Coturnix japonica: one gene and its partner. The protein of the gene in region 2 purifies or fractionates together with the protein of the main gene of each other region. This does not show direct contact. Links are inferred from orthologs where the notes say so. Each region holds a gene or a part of one and is shown on either strand. Other genes may lie near its edges.

Evidence for each region.
Region 1: the proteins of signaling lymphocytic activation molecule-like (region 2) and PTPN11 purify together in Homo sapiens (affinity purification with western blotting; 3 studies listed by BioGRID and IntAct, with this or other methods). This does not show direct contact. The link is inferred for Coturnix japonica from reciprocal best matches to the Homo sapiens genes SLAMF1 and PTPN11.

Annotation. Positions count from the first base shown.
Region 1 is NC_029530.1:5,551,150-5,554,967, forward strand, and holds part of PTPN11 (tyrosine-protein phosphatase non-receptor type 11), read left to right. Parts: intron 1-1,819; coding exon 1,820-1,916; intron 1,917-2,482; coding exon 2,483-2,562; intron 2,563-2,686; coding exon 2,687-2,845; intron 2,846-3,818. UniProt on the Homo sapiens protein: Acts downstream of various receptor and cytoplasmic protein tyrosine kinases to participate in the signal transduction from the cell surface to the nucleus. Positively regulates MAPK signal transduction pathway. Dephosphorylates GAB1, ARHGAP35 and EGFR.
Region 2 is NC_029540.1:806,494-810,086, forward strand, and holds the end of signaling lymphocytic activation molecule-like, read left to right. Parts: intron 1-128; coding exon 129-410; intron 411-1,249; coding exon 1,250-1,354; intron 1,355-1,838; coding exon 1,839-1,915; intron 1,916-2,208; coding exon 2,209-2,310; intron 2,311-2,387; coding exon 2,388-2,444; 3' UTR 2,445-3,053; downstream 3,054-3,593.

The DNA of each region.
Region 1 (3,818 bases), on a different chromosome or scaffold from region 2:
GTAAATTACTTGTCTTTAGGCAGATTGAAGAATGTGCCTCTTGTCCTGTTAAGTGTCAGACAGAAATGTTGACAGTCTTTGTAACACTTCTGGAAAGTGACTGGGGAGCTTTGTGTTTGAATGGCACAGAGAAAGTGAGGACTCCTGTACCAGATTTATTGTTGCATTGTGTACCTCTTGTAGCCAGCTTGCTAGAAGTCTTTGCTGCTCGTGGATCTTTCCTCAGGGATGCTCAAAGCAGTAACCATTAAATGTGTGAAGTAAAGGTGTTTGAAGCTTGTTTCAACACAATTATTTCCATGTTTTAACCTGCTAGCAAAGTTCAGCTTTTGGTTCTTTGCTTGGCGTTTCACTTTGCAGAGACTCAAAAGTGTTAATATTATATAAAGGCACTCTGTAATAATGGCAGTTAAAAGATTTTTGCATTATGGCAAGAGTTGGGCTTAATGCAGACAAGACATGCTTTATGGGTATACACATTCTGTGCTTTATGTATGTGAAACCTCACAGCTCTGTTTTGCTTTTGTTCTTTGGATTCCCTGTCTTTAGGATGAGCTTAACTGTCCAAGGTCACTAAGTGAGGTGGGAATGATAACACAGACTGAAATAGAAGTGAGCAAATGTGCCTGACATGCCTGAACTTTGAAGTAAAAGTAATCTGTGGAGGAATATTAAGGTGATCTTAGTGAAGAGAGCAGCTTTCAAAGGCAGAGTGTTTCTTTTAGTCAGACCAAAACTGCTTTTGAGATTAAAACTTGGAGCAAAATCACTGAGGTCGTTGTCCCCTTTGCTTCATTGCAAGTACGTGGATTTACTACTAAGCAGTGCTGCTATGAGGTATGGAATTACTGTTGTCCCTGTCATTATTAATTGGGAACCAGACACTGAGAAATTAGGGCCTTGCCAACGGGAAAAATCCCCATGCAGATTTATTGCTTCTGCACTAGGATGATTTATGGATAACCATGTAGGTAGTTACCTAACACCTCCCCAATCCACCAGCATGGTAATGTGAGGAATCTGAGAAAAATATGTTTGGCTGTACAGGCTTAGTGAGATGTTCTTGTGTCAATGGGAGAAAGGGAGTCACGTTTTGCTCCTGGGTGTATTGACCCATTCCTATTTGTCAGCCAGTTTTGTAGCAGCTGTGTCTGTGAAAAGGATTCACTCAGAGGGTTAATTACCTTTTCTATGAAAAGTAAGGCACAAATTACAAAGTACTGTTGTTGCACTCAGTGCTAATTTGCTTTCTGGCTTTCGAATGCCATATGTGCGTTTTGAATATTCTTATCCTATTGTGGTTTGAAGGGAATAGGAAAGAATATCTTAATATTATGCTTCTAACAGCTGAAGGTCTTCTCACTTTCCTTGAAGCTGAGACAGCTGCTTATGTTGGTGTGCTTTGGTGGGTTTTCTGTAAGCTCCTTCTTCCCCTTTGGCTGCCTGGAGATTATCTGGCTGCAGCCTGCAAGGATCTCAGGGATGTGGTTTAGGGGCTTTCCAGCGGCACTGCTTTGGATTGGCAATAGCTGAAGGAGGGGAATAAAGCTAGTAAGGCCTAGAGGAATCCAGTACAGCTCAGGTAGAGAATCTTGACACCTGTGTTCTGTTTGTGTCAGTGCCTTTTCATACTTTGAAAGCAATACTGTATGTAGCCTGAATGGAGTAAACCAGCGATTCTCTGACTGTTGATTGTTATTATAATCAAGTGTCCTCATTTGAATGAGGGACGGATCTCTATAGTGATGAAACATTATAACAGGTCTTTGTCTTTTTTGTGCTTTTACTGACACCAGTTATTCGTGCTGTTTTTGTGCAGACTTTACAGCAGCAAGAATGCAAACTCCTCTATAGCCGTAAAGAAGGTCAGCGACAAGAAAACAAAAACAAAAATAGATACAAAAACATTTTACCCTGTAAGTACTGATTTCTTGTGTAAGCCTATTACTTTTGTGCTTTATTATTTTAGCTGGAAAAGACTGGGTTAATTTAACATTGTGCTTTTTCTTCTCTTTAGTGGTAAGTCCTTCTTTTATGTTGTCAGTATTAGTCCATATAGCTTCCAGTCTGTGTTCAAACATTTACTCATTATAGTTGCAGATATTTTGATTCTGTAATGTTTATCTGCAGCGTTCACTTAACAGTTTAGGGATATGATGCTTTCATTTGGCAAACTGAAATGCTTACAGTTAAGAGGATTAATTTGTGGTACAGAACTGAGTAGTGCAAATCCAGCAGTGTTTGAGACCATTTGCGTTGATTCAGATAAACACTTGTTTTGTGATCTATGTTGTTATGGATTGGAAACTTGTTTTAAGTAACAGAAAAAGGGATGGGTGTTCTAGCAGTGATTTGCAGAGTTTCACAATGTAGCACTTTCTGATAACAGGAAGAATTGTACCTGTTGGTTGAATGTTTAAAAATAGCTGTATGCTCACAATTGTAGGATGCAACTGCTTAATGTATAAATATATTCTTCCAGTTGATCATACCAGAGTTGTTCTGCATGATGGTGATCCAAATGAACCTGTTTCAGACTATATCAATGCTAATATTATTATGGTAAGTATGCCCCACCTAAATGAGTCTTGCAGGCACAACCTATGCCTACTTACTCTTTTAAATCCAAGTTGGTCTTCTAAAAATGAGCATTTGTCTCCATTTCTTAAATTGTTTTTGTCTCTAGCCTGAGTTTGAAACCAAGTGCAACAACACAAAGCCAAAAAAAAGCTACATTGCTACTCAAGGTTGCCTGCAGAATACAGTGAATGATTTTTGGAGGATGGTGTTTCAGGAGAATTCTCGAGTTATTGTTATGACAACAAAAGAAGTTGAAAGAGGAAAGGTAAAAACAATATTATACTGGTCTCTGGAGCAGTCATAACATTTGTGTGCAAGTGGGATCTAAACTGACTTGGTTATATTGACTCACATGCTGAAATGCAGTGTGCCATCATGGTCTTTGGATACTTGCAGCTTAATTCTGTAAGGTATTGAATGTTCTTAATTGATGCCTGTGGGAATTGAGGATGCACTCCTATTGCATCACAAGACCTCCCTTTTGTAAGGGTTGTCTGATTAAATTCTAGCTACTGAATGTGAATCATTGCATTGTGAGAATACTCAGGGAATGAGACACTGGAAAGCTGGGTGCTGCAGTCAAATATTCTGCCTATTTGAAAAGGGATAAATTCCCTGTTCATAAAAGTTGAATACTTTTTTTTTTTTTTTTTTTTGCTGTGTGCTCTGGCTGTGTACAATGCTTTTATGTCTGGTTACTTAATCAGCGATAGGGAAAGAATGGCAAAAGTAACAACAGCAAAGCATCTTATGCTGTATCTTTTATTGGCAGAAGAAGCTTCCCTTGTTCCCATATATTCTTGTAAATCTGCACTAGGTGCTGTTAATAAGAAATATTTTTCTATGGTATTTGGTGCTTGGTCTGTTTGCTGTTGCTGGAAGCTGCATCTGTCTTCCCCACTATATTTCTCATCTAATTTTGTGTTAGCCTTCACGAGGCTAACAGGAGCTGTTGTTGCAGGAACCAAATTAAAGAAGTAATAGGTTAAGCCACCCTTCAGTGTGTAGAATACATCCCTGGCCAAAGATAACCTTGAGAGAGAAGCAGCATGCTGAAAGCTCTAAATGTCGAAGCCTACAGATGCATCAGGCCGTCTGTCAAAGGGAGCAGTTCTGTGTTGCTTTGGTGATTGAATTAGAGCTATGTTAGCCCGTTTTTTCCCTGATTCTAAGCAATGAAAAAGCGAATGTCCAAGCTGCATTCCTGTTAAAAATGATTTATATCTTTGACTTGCGTT
Region 2 (3,593 bases):
TGGTAAAGGCAGACCTCAACCCCATTTCCAGAGTCTCCAGCAGGACTGGAGCAGCACCTCCCCATCTCCAGCTGATGGCAGGAGGGCTCGATAGGATTTCTCAGCCTTAATCTCTTCTCTCAATCCAGAGCCCGTGTCTGATCCCAGCATCCACATCCTCGACTGGATGCTGGCCAATGACAGCTGCACAGTCACCCTTAATTGCACGGCGGCACGAGGGGACAACATATCCTACAGCTGGGCCAGCTCTGAGGCCAGCACCTCATCACCCTGCACCCACAATGGCAGCCTCCTATTGCTCTCCTACGACCCCACCAACAGCAGCCTGGCTTGTGCCTGCACCGCCAGCAACCCCGTCAGCCGCCGCACCACTGCCTTCCACTCCTCCATCTGCAGCATTGAGCAGCAAGGTGAGCCCTCAGCACCTGACCCCACTATCTCCCCCACCTCCAGCCCCATGGGGGAATTTTCTCACATTGCTTTCGGTGCCCCAGAGGAACCTTTGGCAGGAAAAGCAGCCACAGCACCTCTGTGGGTTGCATGGCCATTCCCGTAAGCACTGAGCTGTGCTCGCTGCACCCCACTGCCCCAGGCTCGCTTGGCTGGGGATGATAAGAACCTCAGCTTCCCCCAGGAGGCTCTTGAGGCCAAAATTATGCTCTCTGTCATTGGGTTTTTCTTGCCCTCCCCTGTGACGTGGGGACTTTTGCTGTGGCCATGTAACACAGTGACTGTCCCTCACCCTGGGGACACAGCAGTGACACCACCTCTCTGTCCCCCACCCACATGGGGCTCTCACCATGCCCTATGCCTGGCAAACATCCCCACAGCATCTTTAGATCTCAATAGAGAGGGGAAGGTGCTGACATGAGATGCTACAGGGCATATTTCCCAGCACTGGGTCCCCCCCAGACCTTACACACACACTATAACACCCATATTAGTGGCAGCCCCTGTCCCCATCACCAGGGCTGGAGGTACAAAGCTCTGCCCCCAGGCTCCCCACAAAGCCTCCAGAGACGTGTCACAGCCTCATCCGGCCCTCAGCAAGGTATTTTTGCTGGCAGTTGCACTTTGTAGATGGTTATAGAGAGTTCAGCTCGCAAAAAAAACCAACCACATTTCCTGCTCTTTGCTATCATTCTACTGAAATCTTCAGCTCCACAAACAGACAAGAAGATACTGGGAGGGGTGGGGTTAACAATGAGCTCTCTGTTGGATACTGACCCTCACTCTCTCTGAGCCACAGGCAGCTGGAGGACAGGGATGCTGCTGTTGGGAGTGGTGCTGCCCATATTGATCCTGATCGTGATCGCCGGGGCCTTCACTCTGGTCTATGTGATTGCAAACATGAGTGAGTGCAGGGTATGGGGGTTTGGAGGTGAAAGGAGAAGCTCGTGGCCCCCCCAACCTCATGTTGGGGTGCCCCGCTCCTGTGAGGGGAGGGTTGAGTGGGGACCTGCTTTGTTTGAAGCCCGGGGTAACAGACAGGAAGGAAAGCAGCTTAAAAAAGAAAAAAGGACATAGATACCTGCTTTGCCTACTGTGTGACCTCAAGGGCTTTCTGCGGATGCTGCACATCTCTATATCACATGGCTTCAAGGGGAAAATGTGATCTCAAGAGAGCAACACCCCTGCAGAATACCCTGGTGAGGGTGCCCCGTGCCTCTGAGCAATGATAAATTCACCAAGCCAACGAGCCCAGAGACAAACAGCTGCATCAGGGTTGGATCCAACATAGGAAACACTGTGAACCCCTCGGGGGGAGGAATATGGGGCCAGTGGGGGTCCTGCTGCCACTCCATCCCCATGGTGACTTTGCTCTGTCCCCGATGCAGGACAACCAAGGGAGCAGTCGCCGCACACTGAGGACAGCACAGTGCACACCATCTACTCTCAGGTGCAGCGGGTAGAGGTGAGTGAGCCCTGCAGGGTGCAGCGTCCTAAAGCTGTGTCCTTGCAGCTGTATGGGTGATGAGCTTGGAGCACAGGGTGCCAATGAAGCCCTATAGCCAGGGAAAGTCGGGTCATTACCATCCAGGAGTGGGGAGGTTGTGGGCCTCTCCAAGTGTCACCTCCATTAGGGCCACTTTACTTTGGGACTGTTGCTCTCAGCATCCCAAGGGGATAAACTGTATCAGGAGGCCTTGTAGTGCTGGAGAAAGGGGAGAGCTGACTGTCATTACTCACTTTTTGCTCCCTGTACAGAAGCCAAAGCCCCCCTGCAGCCCCGTGGGCACTGATCACCCCACCTGCACCACCATTTACGCTGCAGCCACCAACGCATCCTTACCCCCATACAGCCCTCAGGTAAGTGGATGGATTTGATGGGTCCCACACTTAGCACCCCAATCCAGGCACCTCTCTCACCCCACTTTGCCTCGCAGAGCCCCAACACGGAGCCCAAGACAGTTTATGCCAGCGTGATGCTGCCCATCAGCTGAGCCTCCCTGCAGGGCAGGACCCGGCTCCGCTCCCGCACCCTACATCCAAACCCCGCATCCCTGCGGGGGACCTCGCACATCCCTGCGCATAAGAAGCACGCAGCTCCCGACCCCAAAGCATCGCGCTGAAGGAGCAAAGAGAGCCACAGAAGCAAGGCGAGAAAGCAAAGGGAGCTGCGTAATGAAGGGACCCGATAGCAGCAGCGCTCGGAGTGATGGACTCGCCAGGGGGAGCCCATAGAGGACAATGAGGGCTGCCTAACCACAGCAGAAAAGGAAAAGCAACGAATCAGAAGGTGCCCCGTAGGCGGTTCCGAGGTGTGCACAGAAGAAACCGTGTCACAACGAGGAGTCCCTGCGGTTCTCCCAGCTCTCCCGTGGACGTGGGAAGCATCACATCGCTTCTCCATCCCCTGGGCTGGGTGTCCAGCCGAGCTTGGGGGTGTGAGCAGCTCTGTGTCCCCACCTTGCACAGCATCAGGACAATGGGAGGCTCAGGGTTGTCAGCTCTTTCCAGCTGTGCCATAAACCCACTTTCATCTGGGCTCAGGCAGCAGGGCCGACCTCACCTGCTATGGAAAATAAACATATAGGAAAATGTTTCAGGAAGGTTTGTGAAAGAAAACACGAGGGCTGCAGCTGGGTCAGGCTCTGGGCGGGGGGGGGGGGGGGGAGAGAAGTGCATTTCTACACATCTCAAGCTTCCTCTTCTTGTTACTTCAGCAAAAATCAGCTGAGCTGCTTTCTTGGGAAGTCCTTTTGCAAAGCTGCTACTTCCCCAGGGGCACATCCCCATAACACCACCTCCTCCTCCTCTCCTTGTCCCCTACCAGCATGGGGGCAAAGGAGGTGCTTCCATTAAGGGTTTGGTAACACGATTACTACTTCTGTATTGAGCAACCATAACTTGCATGCACCCAGTGCTGAAGAAGCAGTTGCATTACCCCACAGGGTAAGCTGAACACACACACTACTTCCCCTCACCCTCCCATAGCCCAGCACTGGGGTGAAGAGCAACAGATGAACCCGTTCCTTCACCCCAGCAAGAGAAATCATCACAAGTTCAATGCTAGACATCCCCATCTGGCCTTACACACTTCCCCACTCCAATGTTGATATGGTGTCAGGATGAGACTGCTTCCCAAAATA